Linked DNA regions of Struthio camelus. The protein of the gene in region 1 binds, or shares a complex with, the protein of each later gene. Links are inferred from orthologs where the notes say so. Each region holds a gene or a part of one and is shown on either strand. Other genes may lie near its edges.

Region 1 (9,559 bases):
GTTTGAAAACAGTAGTTTGAACAGTAGCACCCCACTTCAGCAGCAAGTGGAAAACAAATCACAAGCTTCTTTGCCACAGTGGCGGATCTATTTCATACTGAGATTTACTATGTGGGATGCTGGGGCACTGTCCTTTCTTTACGTAACGACACAGCAACGCAACAACAAAACCACAAGATGATGCCACTGGTAACGCTCTGGGGGGTGAGAATCATCCCGAGCTAAAGCCCTGGACTGAAAATATATCCTACCAGGAGCCTTTCATGCTACCAAAAAGAGTCCTTCAGCTTCAAGGATCTTTTTATGGGGCTGGAAACCCCCGCTGTAGCAGGTTGGTTGGTTTGTTTTTTAAAGAGATGACTGCCCTGAGGGAGGAGCGCGCACTCATAGCAGAAGCGAGGCTCAGAGCTGGAGCAGAGTCAGGGACTCGGTTCCCACAGGTGGATGGGGGCAAGTCACAGCCTCACCAATAAAACAGCGAGCAGTCAGGGCAAGAGCCACCAAACATCAGCAGGAAAGACAGCAGGGGAAGGACAAAGGGGCCAAGAGCAGCAAAGGAGAAGCATGTCTTATTGTGCGCAACTAAAACAGTGAAGTCATGCTGGGAGATCACAGTCCTGACCCCTTAGCAAGGGATGTCTTTCCAAAAAAAAAAAAAAAAAAAAAAAAAAAGGAGATCTTTACTTACTTTTTGTTGGAAATGAAGTCAAGTGCCTGATAGACCAGAGAATAGAGATATTCCACCTACAAAATAAGGCCAAGACTTTTGGAGAAAGAAAAAGTAGTTCCTAGAAAGACTACTGCAACTGAGGCCACGAGGAACCACAGCCCTCTTCTCTCCACCCCAGATAACTAAAGTTCAATTACTTGATAATCCCATTATTCTCATTATTATTCAAGCCACTTTGAGTCTAGGTTTGGGGAAGCAGTTCTTTTTGTTTTCCACTCTCCAGAAAAAAAAAAAAAGTGCTCAACAGCAAAATTCTTGTCTTTTCCCAGACTTTTGTGGGCTGCCATTCCCCACACATATAGAAGGGGTGAATTTGGAAATTACAGATTTATACCCTTTCAGATCGGCGAGTCATTTTTATGTTTAATTTTTTCAAAATCAAGGGAAACTTCCCTTGCGAACAAGCTTCAGTCTCAGAAACACCAGCTGAGGGATCACTGAGTGGACAAAGTGGCAGAACTAAGACCAGGACATGGCAGTTACTGCCCGTTTTCTCACCTTCTTACTGTAGATGCAGGCAGAGCCCTGGATTAACAGAGCTGCTTCTATGAAATTCATGGTGGTTTTGCCGCCGTCAAAGGAAATACAGATTTGGTCCAACTGCAAAACACACAAAAGGAGGAAAGCAAAACGCTGATGTGCAGATTGGATTTGAGGACAGCACAGCAAGAGGAGAAAGTTAAGAGAGAAAAATCATAGCAAGATGCCTAACATAGTATTCGAGGGACTAGATGTAATAAGTAAATGCAGAGAGAGAGAATACGTTCTTCCGCTCCCAGTAGCCTGAGAAGAGCTTTTCTGTCAATAATCTCACTTCTCCAGCCAAGGCTGCGCTGTGGGGAGCATGGTCCCTAGTGCCACCACAAAAACAGGGGGAATTCAAAAGGGGTGGCTGCAAACGCTGTTAGATAACATCCTCGAACTTCAGCCCATCGCAAGCCTAGATCGGTGACAACACGGCTGCGCTGCCCTGCAGCCTGAGACGGGCGAGGGTTGCAGTGTCGGTGCCGCAGCCAAGGGACTGCCGGGACAGCGAAGGACGGAAACCCCAGCTGCGCAGGCCGTGCTGAGGGGCATCTCTACACAAAGCTCTCCTCCCACCACAGCACTGTGGTGAACAGAGAGCCTCCCTTACCTCCTCCAGGTACTCCCCCAGCTGAGCAGCCACATCCACCTCCCAGTTCTTGGTGAGATCGCGAATGGGCTGCAGGAGGTGCAGGAAGCGCGACTCCACATCCTCCATGGCGACCGATCCCTGGAAAGGCAGAGGTTACAGCTCACTCGGCAGACGGGCAGACCCACAGGATCACTGAATAACCTGTTTCTTGACGAATGCTGTTTGTAATCCCAGAGTTGAAGTTTGATGCGTCACCATTCACTTAGAGCCAAGCGCAGCTTCAGTCTTAGGGTAGTTAGCTATTGTAAGAACCTGGAGTCAACTGATATCTTTCAATTTCAATAGAAATAAATGTTGTAACTAAATATACCCCACAAAAACCAGACTAAAACCAGACTAGCACGTAAGTTTCCCAAGTGGGAAACAAATGTCTTCTATTATCTCATCAAACACCTGTAGGTAAATGAGAGCACAACATCAGCTAGAAAGCCAAACATAACTTTCAAGCCATTCTCGGACAAACATCAACAGTAAACACTACCATCCATACAGTTTGTCCGGAGCAGGAACCAGGAGGCATTGACTGAACTTACAGACTCCTTACACAGAACTACAGGAGATCCCTGCCCAGCTTCTGCCTGCTCAGATGTCCAAGTGTAACTTCACATGCAGGAAGAGCTGCACCAAAGTCAACAAAGTATTCACGGGAGTAATGATTTGTGCGCTAACGAACCACCTCCTGCAAACATTTACAGCCCAAACCTAGTAACTTGGGCTTACAACCCAAATCTAGTAATCCGCAACTAAGGGCGGACTCCAGCATCTCTCTGGGCTCTCCAGCAGGTCTTGCGTGGGGTGGTGCAGGTGAATCCAGAACTGCAGACTCTACGGCTGGGATCATTAGGAAACGCATTCATTTCAGAGGAACATCCCAGACACTTACTCCTATTTCCACAACAGCAGACAGAAATTGCACTCCCCCCAGCAAGACTATCAGCACTATACGGATGAAATCCACAGCAGCATAGGGAACGGGACCAGTAAACGTTTCGTCTTCTGTCCTTTTAAATCGCAGTTAGGCCAAAGAAACATAGCTATAAATATGAAAATAAAAAGCTCACGACACAGGGACAGGGGAGACGGTCTCTCACTTCGCAGGAGGTCACTGGCTGCTCCCCGATACAGCATCAAAGCCTCCTGAAGAAACACGCGCGTGTCACCCCAAGCTAGTCGGCACAACGCTGTGCCACGCTTATCACGCTCCATCAAAACTGGCTGCAGAGACGAACGCTCAACCCCCTGCTCCCCTCCAAACACCCGCTGCGCCCCGCTCCTGGGAACGCAAACCCAACACGCGTGAGAGCAACGATCGCGGCAGCGGCACCGCGCTAACACGCGGAGGGCTCTGCGCCGGCTGCCCCTCTGCGGACAACGTCCTGCTGCTCCAGGAACAGCCCGTACCGCCCCCCTCCTGCCAGGGGCCGAGGCCACCCTGGCGCTTCTGCCTGCGTTTTACGGGGGATAATCAGCTACGCGAAGTAGGAGGAAAGCACACGCTTTACTCCATCGAGGAAGGATTGCTGAGGAACTGTGCGAGCGTGGGCTCTCTCTGAGGACAGGAGCCCCACAACAGGCAGGAGACAGACATCAAACGCGCTTCGCAGCGCAGAAGCGCGGCCCAAGGGAGCAGAGCCCAGATTCCCACCTCTCTGGTCCGAGTCCCTGATGCGGTGACGACACCTTTTATTAGATGAAGTGACAGAGGTGAGGGGCAAGGGAGAGCCGGGCTGCCGGAGGCGCAAAGCAAGGCGGACGCCACCTGTTTACCTCTCCGCCTACCCTCCGCTTCACCAGTGGCTCCTACAGAAGTTATTCCCGCTCCCAGCGAGCCTCGCTTCTCCGCTCACACCGGGAAACGGCGGCTAAACTACGAACCCCGGCACCGCGCAGAAACCTGCCCCGTAGGCCGGCTCCGGACCGGGTCAGAAGAGGTCCACCGGGGCTCGCACCGGCCGGGCGCCCCGACCTGCGGCCCTTCCGACCGGCTCCTCCGGAGAACAGCTCTGCCGGAGGCAGCCGCCTGCGGCCCGCCGGGCCCCCCCGCCCCCGCCTGCGGCCCGCCGGGCCCCCCCGCCTGCGGCCCGGGCCCCCCCGCCTGCGGCCCGGGCCCCCCCCCCCGCCTGCGGCCCGCCGGGCCCCGAGGGCGTCCAGCGCGGCCCGGGCCCCCCCCCCGACTCGCGCTACGGGTGCTGCGGCGCCTCCCCCATCACTCCGACCCCGGCGGGGTGGAGGGGGTCCCGGGCGGTACCGCGCTCCCCCGGCGGGGGGGTCCCGGGCGGCACCGCGCTCCCCCGGGAGGGTGGGGGGTCCCGGGCGGTACCGCGCTCACCCGGCGGGGGGGTCCCGGGCGGTACCGCGCTCACCCGGCGGGGGGGTCCCGGGCGGCACCGCGCTCCCCCGGCGGGGGTGAGGGGTCCCGGGCGGTACCACGCTCACCTGGCGGGGGGGTCCCGGGCGGCACCGCGCTCCCCCGGCGGGGGTGAGGGGTCCCGGGCGGTACCACGCTCACCCGGCGGGGGGGTCCCGGGCGGTACCACGCTCACCTGGCGGGGGTGGGGGGTCCCGGGCGGCACCGCGCTCCCCCGGGGCAGTTCCCCTCAGCGGCGCTCGGCCCCGCTCCCGGCCGCCATTTCGTGCTTCCCGCCCGAAGTGACGCCGGCGGCGGGCGGGGCGGGGCGCGGTGACGTCGTGGCGGCGGCGGCAGGCGGGCGCGGACGTGTCGGTGCCGCCGCCGCCGCCGCCGCCATGGGGGAGCCGCCGCGCCGGCCCCGGCAGCTGTTCCTGGCCGGGCTGGCCGCCGTCTACCTCGCCGCCTTCGCCTCGCTCTACGTCCAGATCCCCGGTACGGCCGCGGGGCGCCGGCACCGCGCCCGCAGCGAAGGGGAGCGGGCGGCAGCGGGGACCGGGGGGGGCACCGGGGCCGGGGGGGGCCCAGTTGGCGGGGGGAAACCGGGGCCGGGGAGGGGGCTGGGGAGGGGTGCGACCGGGGGTGGGGGGGGAACCGGGGTCGGGGTGAGTGACGGGGCCCCGGTGCCGTGCGGGGGCGGGGGGACCGGCTGCGGCACCGGGGCTGCGGGGGGGGGGGTGACCCTCATCCGGGGCTGGGGGGGGGGGCACCCTCGGGGGCCGCCAGGCTGCGAGCAGAGAGGCCGGAGCAGCCGCTCCGTTACGCGGCCCCGGGAGCTCGGTGCCCGCGCGCGGCCTCGGCCCCGGGCAGCCCGCAAGGTGGAGCGGGGGCCGCGGCTGGGCACGCCTCCCGCCACCGTGGCCGCCGGCCGCCTCTCGAGCCGCTCCGCCGGGCTGCCGGCGGCCCGGGACTCGTCCGCCGCAGCCTGTGGTTTCCTGACGCCTCCGCTCCCGGCTGCGCGGAGAAGCAGGAACGTGCCTGGAAGAAATCGCTGCCGGCGTGGCTTTCCTGCCGGCGCGGGGCCAAGCGCCGTCCGGCTGCCTCCGCCGTCCCGGCCCTTGCTGCCGGGGGAGGGAGGCCGAGGCGCTGCCAGCCGGGGGGAAGGCTCCGGGGCCGCTGGGGAGGGAGGCAGCGCCGGAGCCGCGTCTCGGAAACGCCGGCGGGCCGAGCCGAGCGCGGGGCCGGAGGGCGCAGAGCCTGTGCCCGGCGCGGGGCCTGGGGAGCGGAGCCACCCGCAGGGCAGACCCCCGCGCGGGGCGGTCGGGGGGCTCGGGCTGGGGCGAGCGGGACGCCCCGGCCTGCCCGCGCCTTTTCGCGGCCACGTCCTCCTCGCGCCGCCTTCGAAGGGCGTTGCTGTAAGGTCGGAGGAAGGCCTGGAGAGCGGCGACGCGGGCAGGCGACGGCCAGGCAGCGCCCGCCGCCCGGGAGAGGGGTCGCCTCCGAGCTCGGGGCGCGGAGCGGTGCGGCCGGACTGGGGAGGGAGAGAGACCCCCCCCCCCGAGCCTGGGGAACCCTGCGGCCGGTGGTGGCCCCGCAGGGCCCTCGAGGAAGGGGACCGGGGGACTGTTTTGGGGGTGTTAGCGATGTTGAGGGAGTTACAGGCTCTCCTGTTGAACCAGTAAGGAGGGATGAGTTGGAGGTCGTGCCGGAGCCGCAGGCAGGAACGCGCCAAGACGCGAGCGGAGCTCGGGCTGGGGAGCGTGTCTGGGGCTTCTCACCCCAGGGGCGAGGAGAGCCGGGACGGTCGCTTGCCGGGGGATGCAGAGCGGCTGCGAGTGTCCCTCGGCCGCGCGCTGGCAGGGCTGGCCGGGGCGTCCTCGCTCCGCCAGAGCCCTTGCGCGGCCAGAGCGAGGAGGACTGGGGCTGAGCTGGGCCGGGGCCGCGACCTGCCTTTGCCGTGGGCCCCCGGATCCTGGGCGCCCTGCACCCATCCGGGTCCGGGGTGAGGCGATGCTGAGTGCACCGAGGATGCAGGGCCATCCCCTGCCGTCCCCGTGCCCGGCCTGGGTACAGGCCGGTGCCAGGCTTTGCCAAAACCCTGCCGTGGGGGCTGTGCCACCTGCTCCGGCAGCCTGGGCTTTCCCTCTGCCCCAGCCTTCGCTTCGCAGCCCAACTCAAGGCCTGTTTTCCTGCTTTCCTGCCAGTGGGTTTGGCCCGAGGCCAGGTGAGCGGCCACGTTCTCCCCTGCTGCGAGTACCGTGTCGAAGCAGCTTAGCTCCGGGCTGGGGGAGCGGGAGCTGCTGCTGTCAGCCCTCCCCCCTTCGGAGGGGGGTCGCGCCCTTCGTTCGCACGGTCCCGCAGAGCAGGAGGGCCTGACCGCCTTTTGGGAGAGGGCAGGGACTAGGGCAGCAGGACGGCCCTTCCTGGGGCCCCGCTGGGCTGCCCCGCTCCCGCGTGGGTCTCCGCCGCCCACCCAGCTCCCGGCTGGTCGGAGCTGCCGTGCGCTGCGCGCTCAGCGGGAGAGCCCTCCTCTCCCTCCCTGCTGGCAGCTCCTCTCCTGGCTCGCTGGCAGCTGCCGAGCTCCCCGTGGGCCTTTCCCGCTGCCGGTTCTTTCCCTTTCGGGGGGTTTGGCGCTTGCTCTGGGCTGCCTTTGCCCTGGGCAAAGGGCAACGTGCAGGAGCAGCAAGCCCTGCTTCCCTCCAGGACTGGAGATCGTCCTAGGGCAGGCGTGCTCCTGGAGGGGGGTCTCTGCGGGAGCCCCTGCCTGTTGATGTGGATGCACCGGGGTGCCCAGTTCTGCTGGGGCATGGGGGGTGTTAGGAGCCGGGAGCAGCATTGCTGGGGGCAGCCCGAGAGCTGCAGCCTGCACGAAGGGGCTGAGGCCCTAGGGACTGCGCGGTGTGTCCGAGAGAGTGCAAGAGGGACCATGTGGGGCTGGGGTGTCCTAGAGAGCATATGTGTCCTTGTGGGGAGCTGTGACCTTGCTGTGACAGTCCTTCCCTGCCCTCCCCAGGGCTGTACGGGAAAGATGGCATCCTGCCGGCTCGCAAGATGCTGCGTTTCACTGGGAAGGGGCTCTGGGAGCAGCTGCGTGACTTCCCCACCCTGCTGTGGCTCAGCCCGCGCCTGGGCCTGGACACGGAGCTGGGCATGGAGCTGCTCTGCCTCGTCGGCGTGCTGGCCTCCTTCGGCGCCCTGGTGTTCGAGCCCCTGCGGGACAGCCTCGTCTTCGCCCTGCTCAGGATGCTCTATCTCTCAGTCTACCAGGTATGGGCGCGGTGTGCCAAGGGGGGCTCACAGCACCCTGGGGGAGTCAAAGCTGGGACCCATCAGGGCAATGTGCTGGGGAAGGGGAAACTTTCTCACGTGAGCTCCTGACCACGTTCAGCTCTGCTTGCCCACGTGCTCTCCGAGCTGGGGGACGGTGCTGGCTGCTCCCCAGATCTCAGGATCTTGCAGGCAGATATGCTTCCATCTCAGCTCCCAGACCTTCCTTGGGGTAAAAAGCTCCCAGATCTGCCCAAGGGTCTGGAGCCAATTCCTACGACGCTGGGCCTTGGCAGGACGGCTCAGTCCTCTGGTTGTTCGTGGCCTTGCCGAGCGGTCCGTGAGCTTAGGCTGAGCAAGGCTGCTGCAGCACTTGGTCCCTTCCCCGCTCCTGTGGGGGGTTTCACAATCTCAGTGCCACAAGCCGCAAACCCTCCCTCTTGCGAGCCGTTTGCATTCACTGCCAGGGCCTGGCAGCTCTCTGCTGAGGAGCTTGGGTGAGTCAGAGAGGCAGAAGGCTGCACGCACAGGCTGCTGGAGGAGGAGGGTTTCTCTTCCTTCTGAAACCAGGGGAAATAAAGAGAAAACCAGCTGTGCTTGGAAATCCCTCCTGGGCCAGATGTCTGCATTAACCCCAGGAGTGCTGCACAGCAGGAGCTCTCCCAAGGTCCTGCTTGGCAGCCTGGTTGGAAAGCAGCCCAGGACGTTGGCTGCAGCTCTTGGCAGTCTCCTGCTTGCTGGGGCTCGGGAACGATCCCTTTCATGGCAGCGACAGCTGCAGGGAAAGGGATTGGGAAGCCTGGGAAGCAAAGTGGCTGGTCCAAGGGAGATGGGTTTCTCCTGTGGTCGGGGGCTTTCCTGGAGAGAGCTGGCACTGCCACTGCAGTGCTGTTGCTGTCCCCTGCCCTGTCGCCTCCGTCTCACTCACAAGCCTCCCTGGCACGGGGCAGCCGTGCCCCACAGAGCTGCTGTGAGCGGTTTTCTGTGCTCCCCTCGTGCAGGCGGCCCCATGGCCCCGCCAGCCTGGCCCTTGTGTCAGGCCCGAGGAGGGACGGGGTGGGGGGAGCCTGGGCTCTGGCGATGACTCACTGCCGTCCCCAGCTACAGCAGGGAGAGGAAGCGGTGGTTGCCCAGAGCCAGGAAGCCCTGGGTAATGGGCGGCCCCGTGGGCCCCCGTCTGCAGGGGCTCTGTCTCCCCAGTGCCGCTCTGTCGGAGCGGGGAGTCCTGCCGGCATGACCAGGGCCGTGCTGAGGGTGCTGTGCTGCTCTGGGAGTGTGGCGTGCTCCCAGCACGGCCTCCTGCCGGCCCCAGGCGTGCCAGGCCCTCACCATTCCCTTTTAAGGTGATGCTGGAGAAGAAAGTCCCTTTTCCTTTCCAGAGCTCCAAGCCTCCCTCCCCTCTGAGAGGCCCTGACCCGTGCCTGCAGCGCTCTGCACTGGTGTGAGCGGGGTTTGCAGCCTGGTTTGCTGTCGAGTGCTGCTCTGCCAGTGCTTCCCTCTAGGCCTGGCTGAAGCATCGGCGGGCAGGAGGTGCAGAGCCCTGGGGCTGCAAGCACCCGTGCAGCAAGTCAGGGTGGAGCAGGGCTCCTCTGCAGCCCCCCCGGTCCTGACCTGCAGCCTGGGGCTCCCCGGACAGGTCTCCATCCTTCCCCCTTCCCCGCCTCCTTTCTGCTTGCCAGGAGATTGCCTTGATCTGACAAAGTGATGTCCGCATACCTGGAGCACGGCTCCACGTAGAGGAGCTGAGCCTGTCCTGGGCTGTGGTTCTTGGCACTGCTGCCTCACTGGCACGTTTGACCTGGGAGCATCCCCTTCGTTCCTCTGCCCTGGCCGGCAGCCTCCGCGGTGGTACAGCAGCTCTCAGCAGCATGTTGAGGCCACAGCTCTGCTCGATGGGTTTGGCTCGTGGCCAGCCATGGGAAAGGAGCTGGCATCGTTGCTGGGAAAGCACTTGAGAGAAAGTCACAGCTGCCCCTTGGCCTTTCTAACTCCCTCTCCATGGGGTGGGAGTTGGGAAGGGTCCAGAAGCAAAGCCTGC
Region 2 (10,317 bases), on another chromosome or scaffold:
ACAAGGCAGAGGAAAAAATAGAGTAAAAGAAAAAACAGACAAAGTCAAGAGGTACTGATAATTTTTGAGATGCAATTTGCAATAGTGAAGTCAAGGTCTATAGGATTAGAAATATTTCGTAGGAAAGAGGGAGAAGGTCAATGATCTTGAAATAAAAATATTTTAGTCTGCAAACGTAATTAAAAAAAGAATCAAAAATAAAAAAAGTTGAAGGGAAAAAGAAAAACAGAAAATAATGAAAGAAGTAGCAGTTAGAATTAGAAGGTTCCCAAAAGGCTAAGAGAAGAAAGATCCTGTTACACATTTATAGCAGAATGCCTATTTCACTGTACAGCTGGAAACAAATACAATAAACCGAAGGCTGCACAGGCTGTTCTGCAGGCCTCTGCTTCAAACATACCCAAAAGATAGGATATTAAGATTGCACTGTTTTGAACAAAAAGAACGTATTCATAATAACACTAGAGCTTTTTGATCTTTCCTTGGGATGAGCCGAGGTAGAATTATTCTAAAACCTATTAGGGAAAAGGATGCCACTGAATGATAGAAAAGAAAATACAAATCACATATATGGCTAAGAGAGATTGTATTTTCTTGGATTGGAAGAGAATTTAGAAGAAAATTTAATAGCATTTCATAAAGATTTTGAGAAGTAGTACCATAATATATAATAGCAACCTTTTAAAACCAAAAAGAAGAAAACAGCAAAGCCTAAAGCAAACAAAAGGAAAGTAGCAAATCCCTAGAATTTTAGAAGATTTGAATCAAACAAAACAATGAGAGGAAGGAAAAAGAAGATTAAAAGAAAGGGAAGAATGAGAGAGATATGCAATGCCAAAAAGAAAACTTTATTTTAACGAAGAAAGGCAAATTCTGAAGCTAGAGCACAAAATAGGTAGAACCCTAGTTCCACCTGCACAAATACAATATGAAAAGCATGGAAAGCAGAGAGGCTCTAATCAGCCTTTCTCCTTTCCATACCTACACATCAGCTTCTAAAGAACAGAATATACCACCACAGCCTCCTCCAGAAATGAAGTTAAGAATTATTTTAGGAATGTGTTCACTCCTAAGATGAGACATGGTCAGATATTCTTCTCCATTGAAAGTATGGAGAGGAAATGAATAAAATAACTCAGGTCTGTTAGACAATGAAAAAATTATCTGGATAGTCCTGTGCTCTTATAACATGAAGGAGTGAAGGCAGTTTTAATCAGTACATTCTTTACAGTTGGTGATAATCAGTTTCCAGAAATACTGGCAAGGGGTAACCTAGAAACAAAAAGGATACAGGCTAATAATCTGTGGCAAAATAGACAAATCAATCATTTTATTTCTAAAAACACTAAAGGGCTCTCTTTTGGCAGTGATTCAGTTTCACAAGCAATAAAGATAGCTGTATACAGTTGCAAGACAACTCTTGTGAACTGGCGATGAAAAATAGTGATACACACACCATATTGTTCTTCAAGGTATAGGGATGGAAAAGCAATTTTTAATCTGAACAGACCAAGAGGTATGTCAAGATAGGTTAGTGAACGGAGAAGGCAGAAACAACATGACCATCAGCAAGGAAGCTTAGGAAGTATCCTAAGTTATCCTAAACAGGATAATTTATTTTCAAAGTGATTTGGGGAGAAGTGGGAAAATAATGGCAAGGAGGAGATTTCAAACAACGGCAATCTGCTAATAAAGTTGTCATCTAGAGTTACACACAGGAGCGCAACTGAAAAGCTCACAAAATACTTAGACAAAGAGACTCTAAATGAGGTTTAGGAGACAAACAATTCTAAGCTTATTACGCGGTGCATGATATCTTCTCTAGACATGATAGGTTTCATATCTATACTACATTAGTAAATTAACATGATAGGTTTCATATCTATACTACATTAGTAAATTAATTGGTGGCCTGATGGACAGAGTACAGCTGTACCACTTACTTTATCCCGACAAAGGGAACATAAGGAAAATACTGGTTAGATCAGGAAAAGACAAAAACAAATACTAGTTGAGACTGAATAAAAGACTTTATTAATAAAGATCTATGTGTTATTTTATTAGTATCTAAAAGAGGATGATAAAAGGTAGGTAGATAGGGATGTTGGCAAAACAATGAGAAGTGAAGCAGCATTAGAAAAAGTTAGCGTAAAAAAGCAGAGATATCTGACAAAGCCTTTTAAGTTGTAGAATTAAAACTAAGTCTTAAAAATAAACATGTATATCTTTAGCTTTCAATATATACAGACAGTAAAGTAGAAAAAGCTTCAAGATCCTCTCTTCACAATATTGTACTTTATATAATAGAACAGAGAGGCTGCTAGAGAGAAAACTTAAGAAACAAACATGACAATATCATCTATTAAGGTTAGCAAGAGATGTTCAGGAGAACTAGCATGTCTTAATACCAGATTAAAACTTAGTGGAAAATACCACAATGCAAATTGTTATTTTTGATATTGCATGCACAAAAGGAGAATGAACTTTTAATTAGTAGATTTCACTGGATTCGTTTTGTTCCTCCCCCTACTTCTCTCCATACTACATTTAGAGGCAGCAATCTATGACTCTTTATCACATCTCTAGAACATTTAGTGATAGAAAGAACTATTAAATACAATTGTATATTAACAAAAAAAGAAGTAGAGAGCCTAAACTATCAAACCGATGAACAAATGCTAATGAAACATACCTTTGCTATGCCTGTATATTAGCTCGCATTGATTATACAGCAACAAATTTACTCTTTTACAGGTCAACATTTAAAAAAAAAAAACTTTATCAGTATCAGATGAATATTTTCTAGTATTATTGTTGCAGTAATCATTATTTTAAAACTGCAAGCTATATACAACAACCAAGTATTAAAAAACAGGCTGTTTTACAACACAGGAAAAATTTCAAATTCCTCAACTTTTTCAACTATGCTCCATTAAGTGCCATTTTTTGCAACAGTGATACTATATCTGCCTACCTGCCATTATTCTAGCACATACAAAAGTATCGGAGAAAAATTTTGTTGCCCCTCTGAAACAAAAAGTTTGTGCACTCTTAATAGACTTAGTCATGAACGTGTATCGTGGTTTACTTACAGGAATCTGAGTAAAACGCAAGAATTCTTCAATTGAGTCCTTAGACACAACTTGTAAAAATGCTTCACGCTTCATTATGGTCCTTCTTTTCCTTGCGTTATAAACCTAAAAGAAAAAAACACTAGAGAAGAGTATTGCATCTCACAATAAGATCTTTCTTGGACCCAATGAAAATGTATTTAAAAAGTATTAAAAACTCACATTTTTCATCCAAGTCATTATAAGACACTCTTCCTCCCCTTAAACTGATTTATAGGGTTTAGATTCATAACTGCACAAGACCCTAGTATTTGTAAGTAGTGTTTTTAATACCTTTATTTATTAAATAGGAGAGTCTTAAAAGTAAATTTTTTAACTGATGCTTTCACTTTTAACAAGAATAACTTTTCTAGCACACATCCCCTATTTAGCTATCCATCAGTCCAGGCAGCAGCATTTACTTATTGGAAAGGTTCCCTCCTTCTCTGCCTTGTCAAGAAAAGGCCATGGGAAACCGGCAAGATCACTTGTTAACACTAAGAGCTTAACTCACATGCAACTTTCCATCCGAAGTGATTCCTGAGAAGCTTTTCCTACCCCTATCAGCTGTAAGACGACCTTACACAGCCTCTGCTGCTTTCTCTCAAACGTGCCCGTCTGTGAAGCCATGATCTGGATGATGAGGAACTGATCCAAATTAACTAGTAATTTACGTTTTGCCAGGCGCACTGCATGGCCCCACAGACCGCTGTACGACCCCGAACAGGAGAGGAAGTAAGTGGCAAGTTGCCAGGGCGGCTTACCTGGCACTATCACAGAAAAAAAATCCTCATGGATCCATAGGTAAAGCTTCCAAAAACCTCTGGCTGTTCACACAGGAGAAAAACAAAAAAGGCGACCTCACTATTTAAATGCAGTGAAGCAAAGGAGCGCAAGCCCGAGTATCCCAGCAGCACTGCCCAAGAAAATGGTGTCCGTGCAACCGCCGCGCCACTAACGCGCCTCTCCCCAGAGCCGGACGAGGCACCAGCCCCGGGGGGTGCTCAGAGACGGAATGGCACCTCGCTCAGCCCTCCTGCCCCGGCCTCGGCGCCCTGCCCGCCCGCCCGCCCAGGGCTCGCACTCACACAGACACGCCGCCGCCGCCGCGCGCTCTCCCGGCGGTTTCGAACTCTCCCGCGGCAACCGTTGGGCGCAGGCGGGCGCGCGCCGCTCCCGTCTCGCGAGAGCTCACCCACCGCCCCTCCCTCGCAACCCCACTGCGAGCGGGCGGGGGCGCTGGCGCGCGCCGGCCGTGGGCGGGGCGGGGCGGGGCGGGGCCCCGGCGCCGCGGCGGGAAGGGCGTGGCTGCGGCCCCGCCCCTCTCCGCGCGCCGGCGCAGCCGTTAGTTAGTTGCCCTCCCCCTCCTTCACTGAAGAGGCGACGGATCGGTTACTGCGAAGAAGCTGGCGAGGTGTAGATCTACGTACGAGCCTACGGTTGTCTTCCTGCAGCCATCTCATAACTCACAACCCCTTCAAAATGGGATAAGACACGTTTAATTAAATTCATTTATATGCTGAAGAAACAGCATGCCTTCTTCCATGGATCTGGGGTGGCAGTGACACAGTATTCTTACCAAAACATGTGCTATTTACTCAGAAAGCACTCAGCATCCAGTTGATTACATTGGCTTTTTCTCAGAAAATGTTCTTAACGGCTAGTGTTGACAGCTACGCTTTCAATCTCGGTCACAGTGAACACTACTACAGGCCTTATGTACTTGTCATCCAAAGCAGCAAAAAGCTAAGCAGGTTACCCAGCAGAAGGTATGGGGAAGTATGCGGGCCGGAAGATATTAACAGTTTGACAATGCTTTACTTTTTAAAATCTATCTGGAAATAGGTGCTTTTTGTTTCTTTTCAAATTTACTTTGCAGTGGGCAGAAGTGTTTGGACTCAGCTCCTTGAATTAAGCATGAACAGCTTTCAATTCTCTTGTGTTCGCTGTCCTGTCGGAGCTCCTCTACAAACTGGAAATAGTCACTTTGTCTCGTTAAGGGCTTAATTTATATCTTTCAGTTTTACATTCCCAGTAGCATTATATTTTTCAATATTTCCCAGCATTCTTAGCTGTTCTGAAGAATTAGATGCTTGACTGGAATTGTTTACTTTGAGTGTATGACTGTAGTACTGCATATGCTGCTTTGCTTTCCAAACAAAAAATAGAATCAACGCTTTCTAGAAGAGTTCTCACATCTGACTGAACTTTTCCAGAGTGTAATTTTAAAAAGCAAAATCAGATTCAGATTTCATTTAATTAAGAATATTATATGTACAAAATCACTATTTTTTGAAGAAATAGTTATGTTTTTTGGTAATGTTTTTTCTTTTTTATGTACAATCCACTTTAATCTTGCTATGTCTCAAAACTGCAACAGTAACGTTTTCTCCCATATATGTTTGACTGAAAGACTTCCTGTTTTAATTTTTGACGTTTTCTGAGTAAGCTCTTTAACTGTTTTTTTTACATAGTTTCAAAACTACAAGATGAAAAATAAAATCTATTTGGTGCTTATCCTGTATAATTAATGCTCTTCTATATTGCTTCAAAAATGTTTGTAACAGATGACTAATGTTACTGAAAACAAAGATAAAAGCTGTTTAAATTCCTAAATCATTAGCAGAATGTATGTGAAACTTCTGCAGTCATTGGGTTTTAGAAGAAAGCTTCTTTGCCAGATAAAGCAATTATTTGCCAGATAAAAATTACTGTAAGCATCAATTGGAGAATGGGTTGTACTATTTGCAATTTTTAATTAAGTTGGTCATCTACTCAAGGAAGGGACAATATGGCAGAAGGAATTAGCAGCCAGGAGACTACTCTTGAGCATCATAACGTCTCTTCCCCATGCTGACAATTCAGTGCTACCCCTTCTCTTCTCCCACATCTAAATAAACATATCTCTCTCCACAGCATCTACCAGCATCTCTGCCAGCATCTACCTACTGGCAACCACAGAGAAGGGTCCCAGGAGAGAGATTCTGGGACGATCACCTGAAATAGGATCTGTCCTACAGCCCTAGGCAGAGACAGCCAGCAGGCATCGCCTTCCAGAAGCAGCCCCCCACCCCCACAAAAGGAGCCTTTTGCTGCTCCAGCGGAAAGAAGGAAGAAGGATCAGGGTTATTTCAGATCTGATGGACCTGCTTTTTTTTTGTTTAAGTTATGTAGTCAGCTAAGGGCAAGAAGGCCATGAAACAGTTTGCTTGAAATGCATTGTAGGAGCAATCATCATGCTTGTACGGTAGTAAAAGTAAATAAAAAGTATGAAAACGGACATTTGTTGTGCTAATGTCTATCCTTTTTGCATATATTACAAATCTTTGGCATTTTAGAACTGAACTGATGGATTTGATTATCTTATCTCGTGTGGACTGAATTTTTCATTAATACCTTGATTAGTCCTTTAATTAGATGCTACATTAGTCACCTGGTTACTGTTTATTTAGTCGGGCACACATCCATTTAGCAAACAAACTAAAACATATTTTAGCTTATGACTTGTGTTGCATAGCAACCACGGAATGATTCTTTCATGTTATGGAAACTAAAAGTTGACACAAATAACAGCAGGCTGAGTAACACTGAAAGATTCATTTTAAAGAACCATGTAGAGAAACCAGAGATGCAGAATAGAGTTTGGTAGGGTCTTTCGGGGTTGGGGAGGAGGGCTGGAAGAATTGTGTATGAACCGTAAGCCAGTAATGAAGCTACAACCCTATTTTCAGTTTCCCTAATCTTCTGCCTTTCAAGAGCTACTAAATTACATGCCTCTTTTTGACATGTCTGTTCATCTGTTCAAAATAATCTATATCCTTTGATAATAATCTCGTATTTATTATGATTTTCCTGTCAAGTCAAGTTAAAGTGAAAATGAAAAATGGGCCCTCCGCACGTGGTTGCTGAGCAACAGCAAATAAAGATTTGCTTTTGTACTACTGCTTCATCATAAACTACTCTTTTTTCTTGTCAGTGGCCTGTATAACAGATCTCAATTACAAATGGATTTCACAAGAATCTCGTAGTTCGGACTATATCAAATATTCTATTTTAACCTGTATGATTCAACATTATAAATCCTTGTAAAAATAAACAAGTTACTCCCTGAGTGTCAAGGTGCTTTCTTGACATTTATGTTATTTTTATTTCCTATTTACAGTGTTATTTTCTAGATAATAGTTTCTGAGGAGATCATTGTATGTGTTATATGCTAACCTTTTAGAATTGCTACTCCCATTTCCTTTCTTTTGAATATATAATATAATTTGTTATAGTTAATACGGTAGCCACAAAATCTGCTCATCCTCTGAGGCAGGCTGTTAATAATTTACATGCATTCATTTCCCTTGATTTTTTTTCATCTTCATATACTTTGATAAATAATCTGAACAGCATGGGAGAGAGATGAAGTTTGCCGCTATTCTACTTCTCCAGATCTCCCCTTGCCTGAAGGTAATACTGTCAATCATGCCATCCTTTATTCAAAGGCAACTGACAGTTTTCGATGGTGGCGTGATTAGACCTTGAAACTGCTTACTTCCTTTAAATTATTAATATTAACAGGAAACGATTTTAGAGTTTAAGAGATTAAGTGGGGGGAAAAAAAAAAACATTTACTACAGAAGGAAAAAAAAAGTCCTTGTTAACTCCGACAAAAATATAAGGAAATAAAACGCTCACAGGCAATGCAAAAGCTTTTCTGACTAGCTGCTCCCTTGAGTAACTCTAGATGCTGCTGAAGTACTGAACTGCCACCCTGTGGGAATTAGCTGGTACTGCTGGGTGTCTTACGGGCTTTTCCCGCCAGGTTGAATTTCAGTCCAACTTTGTTCATGCTCTTACTTTTACACTTCTTTCCTTGTAGGTGGTGTTACAAATCACAGTAATTTTACTCTGCTAACGATTAGTGCCATGCAAATGAAAAGGAGACTTCTGAAATGCTGTAAAATGCCAACAAAAATAAATTATCCTTACATAACACTTTCACGGCTAAATTCATTCTACTGTAAATATAATACAGGCAAACCTGTGTATAAAAAAAAAAAATTGAATATTTCAAACAAGGAGTATCACTTTTTTCATTATAACTACAATGAACATTTTCTAGTATAAAATCACGAGCATCTTTCAGAATATCATGTATCACTGAGTTAATTTATAATACTAGTTTGTCTATTTTTTCACATTCAAAAGGCTACATTCACATCTGCTCTGTCTAAATTAATTTAATCCTATTGATTTTAACAGTATGAATCATTAGAGATAAACAGCTCATGGAAGCGTTTTGTCTCCTTTCAACCCTTGTTCTATTTTAGGCTTTATGGATAAAGAGAAGAATCATTTGTAAAGTATATAAATACTGCTATTAATTTTAAAAGCACTCTTAAAGGCTTCATTGTGGTAGACATCCATCAAATAGGAGATGATCACTGTTCCATCTATCTAGTATAAAACATGAATACATTGTACAAATGTCAGAATGGATGTGATTTGCTTCTCTCTATATAAATTTACACGTGCACACACACACATAAATACACACACATATATATGAAAATAGTTTCTCTTATATAAATATATATGAATATATGTGTGTGCATACATCTGTGTGTATATACATGTATATATAGTTATAAAACTATTTTACATTGGTTGGTTAAGGCACCAACATTTATTTCTCCCTTATGTTAATGTAGATCTTGTCAAGGCTGGGAGACTGGCCTTCCCCACGTTCCTAATCCAGATCAGGAACTTAGCAGAAGCGTACCATGCTCTTCCTAGAGGCTTCATGCCTGGTTTGCTTTGTGCATAAGCTAGCAAACAGGGACCTGAGGGAGGGTAATACTTGCTCAGGTGTCTCAGGTGGGATATAGCAAGAGTGCATCTGGAGTCAGGCACTTGAAAGTGTTCCAAGTTTCCTAGTTTAGATACACCTGTCACTTATTCCTGTTCTATAGAACAAACAGTTTTAGTATCACAAGAACCTTGTGACAATGTGGCTTGGCAAATATTTTCTGATCATGTGCTTAAAAAAAAGACTGTTTTGTAAGGTATTTCTTCTAGTAGAAGAAGTGTTGTCTTTCCCTTTAAAAATCTTTTTTCCCATGTGTTTACTGTATTGCTCCCAGATGGATTTCATTATTGTTAGATACCCTGAGTTTCTAGCCTCATTCTTGAACTACTCTACCAATAGTGGAAATAAATACTTACAGCGTGGTTGTGTTTCAAATATATCAGTGAAGACTGACGTCCTCACTCATGTCTTAAAACTACTAAGATCTGTAATTTGACTTCTGCCTGCCTCTGACTGGTTTCAAGTTTTTGCACGACATCTTACTGAAGTTGTGCTACCTCCTCTACAGAGTTCTATTATAATCAACTCTTAATTTTATAGGCCAAATACCTAAGGCATGAAACACCTAAGAGAATTGCTGACAGATGCATACTAAATTTGTTGTGAACTCAAAATTTGATCTTCCAGAAGTTTCAGATCGCAGAATTACATGTACCAGTTGTTTTATTTCCTAGGGCATCACGACTATATGTTTCATAAAAATATTTTGGCAAACTGACTAGGGTATTATTATTAACCTCATTACAAAACTCAGTGTTGTTAGTATCAGCTGTGCACTGAGCAGAGGAGGAGAGTGGGGTGCAATGAGGAGACTGCCAGTTGTTCACTGCTTTTAAGCTAGGATTAGTTCATGCTCCACTCCCAAAAGTGCTGAGGATCCAGACCACTTTGTTACTGTACAAGAAACAAAGTGAACAGAAAGCAAAAAAGATTTTTGACATAAGGGTCTACACCACCATCTAGTGGAAAATAAGGATGTCTTCAGAAAAGGAAAATTGTGCACTAATAAGCATAAATTCAAAAACTTCTATAAATCCAAAAAAGTCTGATTTCACAGATAAAATCACAGAGTGATTTTTTTCACTCTGTCTGTGAAAGACAAGAAGTAAAACTAAAATGCTTTGTAAGCAATAATAACTAGAAAAAGGACATTAAATACAGTGAAAGCTGTCTTAGAACAAAGTTGCCCAAAATTCAAAGATTTATACCTCTTTTCAAAAAGCTCATCTTACTATTTAAACCTTCAAGTCCTATTTATTTTACCTGCAACCTAACTAAGCTTTATGATTTGCCTAATAAAATGTAAAGAATGAGCATTGCTATAAATATCATTCTATAAGTCATGAATAG

Evidence for each region. Proteins that work in one complex are often made in the same cells at the same time.
Region 2: the proteins of NCAPH2 (region 1) and NCAPG2 are in contact, whole or in part, in a cryo-EM structure (PDB 9F5W), measured with the Homo sapiens proteins. The link is inferred for Struthio camelus from reciprocal best matches to the Homo sapiens genes NCAPH2 and NCAPG2. Residues at the interface, in NP_689512.2 of Homo sapiens: Pro316, Trp317, Gln318, Ser319, Leu320, Pro322, Phe323, Asp324, Ser325, Leu326, Glu327, Ser328, Lys329, Pro330, Phe331, Lys332, Lys333, Gly334, Arg335, Pro336, Tyr337, Ser338, Val339, Glu344, Gln360, Asp361, Phe362, Gln364, Trp365, Tyr366; in NP_001268861.1 of Homo sapiens: Lys248, Leu251, Gln252, His292, Ile294, His295, Leu296, Pro297, Arg299, Ser300, Val302, Lys340, Ala341, Arg342, Asn343, Ser344, Glu345, Val346, Pro388, Tyr389, Pro390, Arg393, Gly425, Glu426, Ala428, Phe429, Asp430, Thr431, Ser432, Arg437.

What each region holds. Positions count from the first base shown.
Region 1 is NC_090942.1:745,239-754,797, forward strand, and holds the start of NCAPH2 (condensin-2 complex subunit H2), read right to left. Parts: upstream 4,579-9,559; 5' UTR 4,451-4,578; intron 3,045-4,450; exon of another isoform or gene 2,791-3,044; intron 1,986-2,790; 5' UTR 1,974-1,985; coding exon 1,866-1,973; intron 1,331-1,865; coding exon 1,229-1,330; intron 745-1,228; coding exon 689-744; intron 1-688. Other genes in the region: LMF2 (lipase maturation factor 2), read left to right, coding at 4,653-4,749, 7,268-7,521. UniProt on the Homo sapiens protein: Regulatory subunit of the condensin-2 complex, a complex that seems to provide chromosomes with an additional level of organization and rigidity and in establishing mitotic chromosome architecture.
Region 2 is NC_090943.1:11,768,756-11,779,072, forward strand, and holds the start of NCAPG2 (condensin-2 complex subunit G2), read right to left. Parts: upstream 4,295-10,317; 5' UTR 4,199-4,294; intron 3,938-4,198; 5' UTR 3,875-3,937; intron 3,214-3,874; exon of another isoform or gene 3,198-3,213; 5' UTR 3,168-3,197; coding exon 3,093-3,167; intron 1-3,092. UniProt on the Homo sapiens protein: Regulatory subunit of the condensin-2 complex, a complex which establishes mitotic chromosome architecture and is involved in physical rigidity of the chromatid axis.